4 linked regions of the Saccharomyces cerevisiae S288C genome follow. The main gene of each other region encodes a partner of the protein of the gene in region 2 in a complex. Each region holds a gene or a part of one and is shown on either strand. Other genes may lie near its edges. The genes, in order: MRP20, MRPL15, MRPL17 and MRPL32.

The links.
Region 1: MRPL15 (region 2) and MRP20 share a complex: the UniProt entries of both Saccharomyces cerevisiae proteins name them as parts of the mitochondrial large ribosomal subunit.
Region 3: MRPL15 (region 2) and MRPL17 share a complex: the UniProt entries of both Saccharomyces cerevisiae proteins name them as parts of the mitochondrial large ribosomal subunit.
Region 4: MRPL15 (region 2) and MRPL32 share a complex: the UniProt entries of both Saccharomyces cerevisiae proteins name them as parts of the mitochondrial large ribosomal subunit.

What each region holds. Positions count from the first base shown.
Region 1 is NC_001136.10:1,275,854-1,278,937, forward strand, and holds MRP20 (mitochondrial 54S ribosomal protein uL23m MRP20), read left to right. Parts: upstream 1-1,792; coding exon 1,793-2,584; downstream 2,585-3,084. Other genes in the region: DIT1 (Dit1p), read left to right, coding at 1-359; DNA-directed RNA polymerase II subunit RPB7, read right to left, coding at 801-1,316. UniProt on the Saccharomyces cerevisiae protein: Component of the mitochondrial ribosome (mitoribosome), a dedicated translation machinery responsible for the synthesis of mitochondrial genome-encoded proteins, including at least some of the essential transmembrane subunits of the mitochondrial respiratory chain.
Region 2 is NC_001144.5:757,962-760,741, forward strand, and holds MRPL15 (mitochondrial 54S ribosomal protein mL57 MRPL15), read left to right. Parts: upstream 1-1,518; coding exon 1,519-2,280; downstream 2,281-2,780. Other genes in the region: ATG39 (Atg39p), read right to left, coding at 1-872. UniProt on the Saccharomyces cerevisiae protein: Component of the mitochondrial ribosome (mitoribosome), a dedicated translation machinery responsible for the synthesis of mitochondrial genome-encoded proteins, including at least some of the essential transmembrane subunits of the mitochondrial respiratory chain.
Region 3 is NC_001146.8:170,941-174,161, reverse strand, and holds MRPL17 (mitochondrial 54S ribosomal protein mL46 MRPL17), read left to right. Parts: upstream 1-1,875; coding exon 1,876-2,721; downstream 2,722-3,221. Other genes in the region: Nrd1 complex RNA-binding subunit, read left to right, coding at 1-1,574; TEX1 (Tex1p), read right to left, coding at 2,876-3,221. UniProt on the Saccharomyces cerevisiae protein: Component of the mitochondrial ribosome (mitoribosome), a dedicated translation machinery responsible for the synthesis of mitochondrial genome-encoded proteins, including at least some of the essential transmembrane subunits of the mitochondrial respiratory chain.
Region 4 is NC_001135.5:116,686-119,671, forward strand, and holds MRPL32 (mitochondrial 54S ribosomal protein bL32m MRPL32), read left to right. Parts: upstream 1-1,934; coding exon 1,935-2,486; downstream 2,487-2,986. Other genes in the region: septin CDC10, read right to left, coding at 695-1,663; YCP4 (flavodoxin-like fold family protein), read right to left, coding at 2,890-2,986. UniProt on the Saccharomyces cerevisiae protein: Component of the mitochondrial ribosome (mitoribosome), a dedicated translation machinery responsible for the synthesis of mitochondrial genome-encoded proteins, including at least some of the essential transmembrane subunits of the mitochondrial respiratory chain.

The sequences.
Region 1 (3,084 bases), on a different chromosome or scaffold from region 2:
GAAATGACGCGTATTCGAACTTAGTGGAATTGATATTCCCTCATCATTTGAGAATTTCTATTCATGCGCACACTAACAGCGGGCCCAAATTTGGTATAAAAGTAATCTCCAACGAACAGTGTTCTATTGTTAGTTCGTTAGAAGACCTTGATGAACCCAAATTTGAAGATTTTTTACATATTCCCACACCTTGGCATAATTGTGTCGTGAAGGTTGAGGATGAAAAGGAGAAATACTTTTTGACAAAATCAAAAGTAGTCAAGGAGGCTCTCGAAAAGGGTATGTATGATGGTGTATGGAAAGATACTCGTTTCGATATTGGAGAAGGAGGACATTTCGTTATCAAGAAAATCTCTTAATAAAGTAAGAGCGCTACATTGGTCTACCTTTTTGTTCTTTTACTTAAACATTAGTTAGTTCGTTTTCTTTTTCTCATTTTTTTATGTTTCCCCCCCAAAGTTCTGATTTTATAATATTTTATTTCACACAATTCCATTTAACAGAGGGGGAATAGATTCTTTAGCTTAGAAAATTAGTGATCAATATATATTTGCCTTTCTTTTCATCTTTTCAGTGATATTAATGGTTTCGAGACACTGCAATGGCCCTAGTTGTCTAAGAGGATAGATGTTACTGTCAAAGATGATATTTTGAATTTCAATTGACGTAATTAATGATACTATTAATAATACAGAGCGTATATGAAGTATTGCAAATAACATGCACAGTTCTTTTGGGATGAGAATGATAATGAAAGGCGAAGGCGGGCGTTCAGAAAAGCGTTGCGGAGTAACAAGTGATTAAATAGCACCCAAATAATCTTCTTTGATACTACCGATTGCGTGAATAGAACTCACTTGACTGATACAACCTTCAATTTTAACTCTAATTCTACTTTTTATGGTGATGACATCCTCGGAACTTTGGTATGATGGTGGGTTTGAACCCGCATTAAAGGTTAAATCTTGAGGCATCAGATGCTTTGTCACAAATACTTTCATTGGACCTACTTGCACTTCGAACCCGTGCTGAGAACATGAAACGACTGTGCCGTCCACTACTTCCCCTTTAAATGGTTTGAAAACTACAGCTCTATATTTCACGTTGAACTCGGCGGACCCATCTGTGGGCAATATTCTCCCACGTTGAATATCTATATTATCATAGTCTAGGACACAAAGAATATATCCGAATTTACCCGTACACGAACCTTCAACCTCTTCCAATAGTTTTGTCTTTAGATATTGCTTCATTCGAGGACCGAAAAAGGACGGATGAAGGGTAATATTAAGCGAAAGGTCTTTAATAAAAAACATTCTCAGAAATTGAGTTATTTATACAGTGGTTGAAATGTGAATCTATTCTTGGACTTTCCCACTGTCTAATCGCAAAGGAGAATGGTGTAGGAGGAGAAACGGAAAAAGAAAGGCTATGATATTCTGGGAGAAGAGATAGGTGGACAGACCTGATCGACCCAATGTTAGAGAATAAATCGACGAAGTGAGCTTGTCTACGTTATTGGCATTTTCACTGGGATATAGGAATACCGCATTTATTTTCCTTGTATTTTTCAAAATAGCCGTTGAAACCCACAGAAGATCACTTAATACGTAATCGCGTTATACGAATTTTCTCGATGAAAAAGGGAAAACGATGGTATTAGAACTTGAAATGTACATACATTTCTTGTGGAGAACGTAACGCTACTAACAAATAATGTGCTTTGATTAGCAGGCTCCAACAGAAAAAAAAATAAAATAAAAATAAAAAGTACGCAACACCAACACAGAATATGCCACGATTGACGGTTGGAACGAAGAATATGTTGTATCCTTTGCAAAAAACACTTGCAGTAGGAAGTTGCAAGCCAGAGCAGGTTCCAATAAGATCACTAGCCTCAGTGGTGGAGAGTTCCTCCAAAATACTCGACAAAAGCGGCAGCGATCGCGAAGTAGATATAAACGTAAGCGAGAAGATTTATAAGTGGACAAAGGCGGGCATAGAGCAGGGAAAGGAGCATTTCAAAGTTGGAGGTAACAAAGTCTACTTTCCCAAGGCCAGGATCATCCTCTTGAGGCCCAACGCGAAGCACACACCGTATCAAGCAAAATTCATCGTCCCAAAATCGTTCAACAAACTGGATCTCAGAGACTATCTTTATCATATCTACGGCTTAAGAGCAATGAACATTACGACGCAGCTGCTTCATGGGAAGTTTAACCGTATGAACCTACAGACGACGCGGTTTAGAGAACCGCAGATCAAGAAAATGACTATCGAGATGGAAGAACCCTTCATTTGGCCCGAAGAACCCCGTCCGGACGAAAACTCCTTCTGGGACAGCACCACGCCTGACAACATGGAAAAGTACCGTGAAGAAAGACTTAACTGCTTGGGCTCAGACGCCAACAAACCCGGCACAGCATTCGACGGAGTCGTGGGGCCTTACGAACGGGTGGCCCAGCCTTTTATACCTCGCTTCTTAAAACGAGAGATAGACAATAAGCGAGAGCGTCACGCCGCCGAACTGCAGCGCGCAGATAAACTAATTGCCCTGAACAGGTACATAGAAGATCTACATTAGAAGGTTTCCCATTCCACCCCTTCGTTAACCCACACGCAAATACCCAGATAAGCATCTTGCACCCCTCACACTTGTATATACGGAGCAAACTACATAATCTCTAAACAGAAAAAAAAAAAAAGAAAGAAAATTAAGAACATTACTTTTTCCGAGCAACAAACGCAAAAATATATGAAGTGGCTGTAGAACATGCCTTACGGAAGAAAAGAATGATGATGGCATCCCCTTCCCCTGCCCTGGAAGGTGGCCTGTATTTCTGTTCTTTTTTTATTTTTGTTCGCGCAAAGAGCAAGAACATTGGTTGCTTTACTTATTATTTTCAGGGTCGCTTCCGCGGGATGCCATGCACGGATGCCTGCGGAGACAGTGGCGCGGAGCCGTCCGCATGCTCGTTCCGCGGAGAGTCTCGAGCGGGTCCGCGAGGGGCGGATCTGCAACGCACGGTGCCGGGGTTAAGGTATGGCACGATGGTAAGACGATGAGGGAAAAGAATACTGCTA
Region 2 (2,780 bases):
ACCCTTAAACTTTCTTGAGCGGATTTAAAAGAATTCTTGAGAAATAGGTGTAACTTTATTCTTCCTCCGTTTATTTTGTTAATTCTCTTGTGCCAACCGTCTTTCATTCGAGCTTTTGTTGTATACCATAAAATAACTAAGTCTGTTTTGTATCGTCTCCAGCCCATTAGGTCATCATCCTTTAATGGGTATGCAATATGATTGTCGAAGTCGACGTAGTATTTTCCTGAAGGAGCCCACTGACTTAAAGAGTCACTTGATGAATCGTAAGATTTTTTATCAACAAAATCGATATTGCCGTACAACAGCTTCCTTTCATTATTACGTAATGACTGTTGTGATTTAAAACCTGCCAACACATCACCAGTCAGGGAATATTCGAGGGCGAGGTATGAAAAGGTCATGGAAAGCAATGAAGATAGCATGATAACATGCCACATCTTCAATTTAGCAGATTTACCCTCACTTTTATCTATGATATGATCCGATAGTGTGCTAGAATTCCTTATCGTACTATCCTTCAGTTTCGACCCCTCCATACTTGGCAATACCGTTCCGCCAACATTTGAGCCGGACAAAGTATCAAATGACTCTGAAATAGTGGGAACTCCAGTTTGATCAATATTAACTCCAGCATTACTAAATTCATTAGATGTTCTAAAATCGTAAATACGATTCATCTGTGCAGACTCTTCACTGCTAGTGTTCGATAGGACATCTGCATCGAAGTCCTCGTCGTCCTCTCCTGCAAAGGAGCTTTCATGCAAACTATCCAAAGATATTTCTGACTTCGATGACTGTTCTTCCCCTTCTCTCCCTTTACGTAATCTACGTAATCTAACTAAATTCCAATGATCGTCTTCTTCTGACATTTTAGGTCCGACAACTCGACTGTTTTACTAGTCTCTATTATCGTCACTGCGTATTACTCTGCTACTGTGCTTGTTACTTTATACCGGAACAGTAGCTCCTAAACGATTATTCCAAATGAAGAAAAACGTTTGGCCAGTAACCTGCATAAAACTGAATAACTATAATGATACTCCGACTAATAATATATCCCAATGCCCCATCTCATCTGTGTAGATCAATTTTTATGGCTCGATCCAGGTACCTTGATAAGCAGCTGTCGCGCAAAGGGGTTACCGCAAAATGGATAGATGGACCGGGGGCACACCGGGGTAGGGGGTCCGGAGGGTTAACTGTCAACTCCACCCATACAAGACCGCGCAGAAATCGTCGCAGGACCCCGCCGAACGGCGAAAGCAAATATGCAGCCGTAAAGACCTAACAATAAACCTAATGTAGTCATAGGGCTAATTGATTTTAAATATATGACCTAGCTGACTATTCAAGTTTGCCCTAATTGATGAGTTTTTGAAAAAAAAAACAACTTAGGTTTCGCTATCCAAGCTTATGCTATGGGAAGCGTTGGAAAACTTGCATATAGTATGAACAAGAGCGAGATATAAAACTATAACGGTAGATGGAAAGTAAAGAGTAGACAAGCTCGGAAACATGGAAAATAGCATGATGTTTATATCGCGTTCCTTGCGGAGACCCGTTACTGCTTTGAACTGCAATTTACAAAGCGTTAGAACAGTCATATACCTTCATAAGGGTCCGAGAATTAATGGTTTGAGACGAGATCCAGAGTCGTACTTGAGAAATCCTAGCGGGGTACTCTTTACTGAAGTTAACGCAAAAGAGTGTCAAGACAAAGTTAGATCCATACTACAATTGCCCAAGTACGGAATAAATTTATCAAACGAACTGATTTTGCAGTGTTTAACACATAAGTCGTTCGCACACGGGTCAAAGCCATACAACGAAAAACTGAATCTGCTAGGAGCACAGTTTTTGAAACTACAGACGTGCATTCATTCGTTAAAGAATGGTTCGCCGGCCGAGAGTTGCGAGAACGGGCAACTTTCTTTGCAGTTCAGCAATCTGGGAACAAAATTCGCTAAGGAATTAACGTCCAAAAACACAGCATGCACATTCGTTAAATTACATAATCTAGACCCTTTCATATTTTGGAAGATGAGAGACCCAATAAAAGATGGCCACATAAATGGTGAAACCACGATTTTTGCTAGTGTCTTGAACGCATTTATTGGTGCAATTCTGTCAACGAATGGATCTGAAAAAGCAGCTAAATTTATCCAAGGAAGTTTGCTGGATAAAGAAGATCTTCATTCCTTGGTTAACATTGCTAATGAAAATGTAGCATCTGCAAAGGCAAAAATATCCGACAAGGAAAATAAAGCATTTCTGTGAAGATACAAAAAATATAGTTGATGGTTCACTGGCCAAAAATGTATAAAAGAAAAATTTATCTGTAAATAGTGATCGAAATAAAATAAGATAATAACTAAAGAATATATATGACTTTACTGTACAGATCTATAATTGAAAAATGACGAGAGGTCCTGTGAAAGAGTCTGCCTGTTCGCCATCTTCACACATTCAACCAATTCCCTGGTGCGCTTGGTTACTTCCATCAGGATATCTGCTAATTTTTGATAGAATCGTTTCTTCCCAAGCTTTGTGGAATCGCATCCATAAGTACACAATTCCGATAACTTTTGCGAGCAATCTGTGAGCCTTTCAATAATTTCTTTACAGTGCTCGCCTAAATCCAGTTTAAAACTTTTTTGGACCATTGCTTTGGTAGTCATATCAATCACCGATTCCAAAATAGGAATAATCTCGATGGAATTTTGACATAATCTCGAAACTGATCTTGCGGACTTGAACAATTTTGATTTAGAGGCTTG
Region 3 (3,221 bases), on a different chromosome or scaffold from region 2:
ACTACTCAAGACTTTGTCCCGATTCTCATAAATTAGGTTCTTTATATATCATCGATTCAATAGGTAGAGCTTACTTGGATGAAACAAGATCAAATTCAAACAGCAGCAGCAACAAACCCGGTACTTGTGCCCATGCCATAAACACGTTGGGCGAAGTAATTCAAGAACTGCTATCCGATGCTATTGCAAAAAGTAATCAAGACCACAAGGAAAAAATTCGTATGCTTTTAGACATTTGGGACAGGTCCGGCTTGTTTCAAAAGAGTTACTTGAACGCCATCAGGTCAAAATGCTTTGCTATGGACATATCGAATAACACCGCGAACACCGCTTCACAACAACTATCACTGGATCCCAAGCAGAGGTCGAAACAAATCTTGTCAAATCTAAAGAAAAGTCCTCCTTTAAACTTGAACATAAGTCTTCCAACTGATTTGACTTCCACAGATCCAGCCAAACAGCAAGCAGCTCTTTTCCAAGTAATAGCGGCTCTGCAGAAACATTTTAAAACTTTGCCTTCACATACATCCGTGGGTACAGTCGCACCTCCCCAAGCCCATACAATTACCGAATATGGTAGCAGACGTGAACGTGAACGTGAAAGAGAAAGATATAACTCAAGAAGGAATAGATCAAGATCTCCTCCGGCACCATTTTCTCAGCCATCGACAGGCAGGAAGGACCGCTATCCATCTGTGGCCCAGGACCAATACAGCATAGGCGCCCCCAATACGACATTTGGCACAAACAATCACCACTTATACCCCGATGAGCTTAATGTTTCCAATAATCCTCATTATAGACCAAAACCAGTAAGTTACGACTCTACATTGCCACCAGATCATATTAAAGTCTACAGCCGTACTCTTTTCATCGGTGGGGTACCACTAAACATGAAGGAATGGGACCTTGCTAACGTTTTAAAACCTTTTGCTGAAGTACAAAGCGTCATTCTGAATAACTCCAGAAAACACGCTTTTGTGAAAGTTTATTCAAGACATGAGGCCGAAAATGTTTTGCAAAACTTCAATAAAGATGGAGCCCTGCCATTGAGAACTAGGTGGGGAGTTGGTTTTGGTCCAAGAGATTGTTGTGACTATCAACACGGTTACAGTATTATTCCTATGCACAGGCTCACGGACGCTGATAAAAAATGGTCAGTAAGTGCGCAATGGGGTGGCACTTCTGGTCAACCTCTCGTTACCGGTATTGTTTTCGAAGAACCGGATATTATCGTTGGTGAAGGTGTTTCTTCCAAGGCAATATCTCAAAAGATGCCTACTGATTCTGGCAGAAATGGGCCACGTTCTGGTAAACCTAACAAATCTGGTAGCATATCGTCGATATCTCCAGTACCCTACGGCAATGCACCATTGGCATCTCCTCCACCACAGCAATATGTGCAACCTATGATGCAGCAACCGTATGGTTATGCCCCCAACCAACCATTACCTTCTCAGGGACCTGCCGCAGCGGCTCCCCCTGTACCTCAGCAACAATTTGACCCCACTGCTCAATTGAATTCTTTGATGAATATGCTTAACCAACAGCAGCAGCAACAACAACAAAGCTAAGATCTTTACTCCACCCTTTATTTGCTCATAGTACATAAAACTAATCTACCTCTATATATAATTTCTGTTTTTTCCTATGTTCCTTTTTTTTTTTTGTTAAATGGACATCCTTATGTATTCACATAACTACTGTGTTTCAAATGTAGCATTATCCTATTCTTTATTCTCTTTTTTTACCGTATTCCTGGTTTTTTTTCAAGGTTTAGATGAAAATGAAAATGAAAAAAAAAAAAGGAAAGAAAACAGTTAAACAATCAATAAACTTTATATTCTACGTAATCATAAGCGCTTATCCAGTACCATGAAGGTAAATTTAATGTTGAAAAGAGGGCTTGCTACTGCAACTGCAACTGCCAGTTCCGCTCCCCCCAAGATTAAAGTCGGAGTACTACTGTCAAGAATCCCTATAATTAAATCAGAATTAAATGAACTAGAGAAAAAATACTATGAGTACCAATCAGAACTAGAAAAGAGACTAATGTGGACGTTTCCGGCATATTTTTATTTCAAAAAGGGTACTGTAGCAGAACACAAATTTCTATCCCTGCAGAAAGGACCTATCTCCAAAAAAAATGGCATTTGGTTTCCTAGAGGCATACCGGACATTAAACATGGCAGAGAAAGAAGTACTAAGCAAGAAGTTAAACTTTCTGATGACAGTACAGTAGCATTTAGCAACAATCAAAAAGAGCAAAGCAAAGACGATGTTAATAGGCCCGTGATTCCCAACGACAGGATAACGGAAGCAGATAGGTCAAATGATATGAAGAGCCTTGAAAGACAATTGAGCAGGACCTTATATCTTTTGGTTAAGGATAAAAGCGGTACTTGGAAATTCCCTAACTTCGATCTTTCTGATGAATCTAAGCCGTTACACGTACACGCAGAGAACGAATTGAAATTGTTGAGCGGTGATCAGATATACACTTGGTCTGTTTCTGCTACGCCCATAGGTGTTTTGCAGGACGAGAGAAATAGGACTGCTGAGTTTATTGTGAAGTCACACATTTTGGCTGGAAAATTTGATTTGGTGGCGTCGAAAAATGATGCATTCGAGGATTTTGCTTGGCTGACAAAAGGTGAGATCAGTGAATATGTACCAAAAGATTACTTTAACAAAACAGAATTTCTTTTAGCGGATAATTGAAATCACAAAAACAGATGCGTTTTTAACGTTACATATACAAAATATATGCGTGCATATATATTTATATATTAGGTTGTCGTCAATCACATGTAAATATCATTAAATGAAAGAAAAAGAATGTGCATTTTCTACCGCATTCCTTCCATCAGGTAACTTATTTTTTTGAGTTGAATCTACTCGGCCTATCCTTGCCAATCCTATCAGTATTCTTACTCGTCCTTTTATTGTGGTTGTTGCCTCCACCGTTGTTTTTCCTACGTTTTTCAATCATCGTGTTATCGAACATGTCTTTCCAATAAGTTATTAGATTTTTTTCGTTTTTAACAAAATGATTTGATAGTGTGTCATTCTTGCCTGACATGATATACCATGATTTATCAGGATAAAACTTCAAAACGGGATCGGTTTTGTAATTGGCTAAAGATTTAGAGTGGAGTAAATTACCACTATTAAGATCATAGAAATATACCATTTCATCTTCTGTACAAATTCCTAGTATT
Region 4 (2,986 bases), on a different chromosome or scaffold from region 2:
AGTCCTCCTAAGTTAGGTTAAGGGAGGTAGGGAAAAACTGAAGTGTAATGATAATCGAGGATGAAAGTGTGCGGCCAGAAAAATCTTTTCTTTTTATATTAATCTGTAATAAATACAAGACCTATATATTAAAGTAAAACAACATTGAATCAGATCGCATACTGGTGTAGACGTGAAGTAGACATATGATAATCGAGCAGGGTGCTCAATTTGGTGTGGGACACGTTTGGGAAGGTTAAAAGAAGAGGTATATCCGGATTACATTTATTTTTGGCGTATTTTAATAATTTACTAAAAGCGCGAATAGCTTCCCATTAGCAACGCTCAGGGACTCTTTCTAATGTTTATAGTAATACTTTAATAAGATGAGTACCAATTGCTTCTCTATGAGGCACAATCCCTAACCAAACTTTTATTTAGAATTACCGGTAAACTCCGTTTTCTTCATAGATTAAATATTTGGCTAAGACAACAAAATGTTCTTTCATTTTACCAAACGAGAAGGTGATAGCTGTACGCCAGAAAAGAAGGTAAAAACTCTCGCCAATCCAGCAATACCTGTACCTCTAGTTTTCGATCGCATTATGTCATTATGTAAAACCAAGGAGAGAAGCAAGTTACGGTGTTTTCATATAGAATAATTTGAGAATTCTTAATAACATAAGATATATAATCACCACCATTCTTATGAGATTCAACGTTGAATGGCGTTGCTAGACATATGAGCTGAGGAACGACTATTCGCATTTTCTTTCAAGGCAATTAATTGTCTTGCTCTGAACCCTTCATAATGAATGTAGGAAGTTGTTTCGATTAAGTCTTGGAGATGAGTTCGAATCAAAAATTCCCTTAAATATACAAAATCACACTGGTTGATATCCTCAACATTAATAGCGCTCCAACGAGTTTTTCTTCCCCTGAAGGTTTCACCGTTTATTTCAATCTCATTCTCAGAACCAACCACTGCAAACGGAATGATAGATCTAACACTTCTGTTTAGTTCTAATTCCTCGTCAGTTAGTTCTTCCGAATCATAAGGATAAATCTTGAAATTGTATTTTTCGAATTCATTTTGAATAAGCTCCCTAAACTCCGTTCTTTCATCTAAAGTCAATGTATCCGACTTGCCAATAACTGGTATAACATTTGCTATTTCTGTCAATCTTTTCAAGGCTTCAACGTCAAGGCGGCTCAACTCCTTTCCATTTGGTTGCAGGAAATAAAGAATTGCATGAACTCTTGTATCAGTAATAAACCTTTCACGTTGGGCTGTCAATTCTTTACGTAAGTATTGAGAATGTTGTTCCTTAATGTACTTCACAATAGGCTCCCAAGCTTTAGAATTGTCAATAAAGTCACCAAATCCAGGTGTATCTATAACATTAATATTCAAGCGAACGCGGTCCTCCACAAGAGTATGAGTAGAAATTTTCATTTCAGTTGTTTTTGTAACAGGCAGGGCAGAAATATCATCACCAGTAGCAGAATCAATCAAATGTGAGGCAAATAACGTATTTATTAGAGTACTTTTACCCAATCCGGATTGGCCAACAACCATTATATTAAATTGAAAACCTTTCTTCAACAGACGATGTTCGATCTGATTCGTGATGGTATCAAAACCAACATAAGAAGCAGGCTGTACTGAGCTGAGAGGATCCATTAATATATTTATAGAGTGCTTGTAGTAACCGTGGGGCTTGGCCTTGTATTTTCTTGTCTTTGCCTGAAAAAAGTTAAGTATTACTGATACATGTTTACATATATTCTATTCAGCGATTCTGATCTATTTGTGGTCTCTCGAGGAAATCTCATCGTATCATACGATTATTTCCGCAAGCATTCAGAAAGCAAATCTTAATATAAGGCACAATGTTCCCAAATAATACCTTAACTTGGAGACAAAAACACCAGGGAATATCAGCAAACAAACTATGAATTCTTTGATTTTTGGTAAACAATTAGCATTTCACAAAATTGTGCCTACCACTGCAATTGGGTGGTTGGTACCGCTAGGAAATCCTTCACTGCAGATTCCAGGCCAAAAACAACTGGGATCTATCCACCGTTGGTTGAGAGAAAAGCTACAACAAGATCATAAGGACACTGAAGATAAAGATTTTTTCTCTAATAATGGTATTCTACTAGCAGTTCCTAAAAAAAAAGTATCACACCAAAAAAAAAGGCAAAAACTTTACGGTCCAGGTAAGAAGCAATTGAAGATGATTCACCATTTGAATAAGTGCCCATCATGCGGCCATTATAAGAGAGCCAATACACTGTGTATGTATTGTGTTGGACAAATAAGTCATATATGGAAAACGCATACCGCTAAAGAAGAAATTAAGCCGAGACAAGAGGAGGAACTTTCCGAACTAGACCAAAGAGTCCTATATCCTGGTAGAAGAGATACCAAATATACCAAGGATTTGAAAGATAAAGATAACTATTTGGAACGTCGCGTTCGGACTTTAAAAAAGGACTAGGCTCATCTTTCATCTAGTGGTTTCCTTTTTAAATAAACTTAAGCCTGTATATAGAAACTTAATTTCAAACTGTATATTTATTGTTTAAGACAGCATCAATGGTAGAATACAAGGAGCGGAAACAGAAAGAAAAGTCGAAATAGAATTTTTCGCTTTTGGCTTAACAAAATGAGGTCTTTGAAATCAAGAGTTTTGCTTGACAAAAAACAACTATATTTCAAAATATTAGGAAATGATATTATTAGTACAAGGACTTACAGAAATATACTTTTAATATAAAAAGGAAAAAATAAAATAAAAAGAGTTAATTCTTTATTAATTTTCCAACGTCCTACATTGATATATCTGCTGAGATAGAATTAATGTTAGTAAGAACTAAATATTAGACGCGAACTGTTGTTTCTTACATGACAGTACAGCAGGATAATAATCCTTTGTCCTCCTTCTTTTCTGCAGTTGTAGCTGCTGCAGGTTTAGTTTGTCTCTTAGCCGCATCAGAA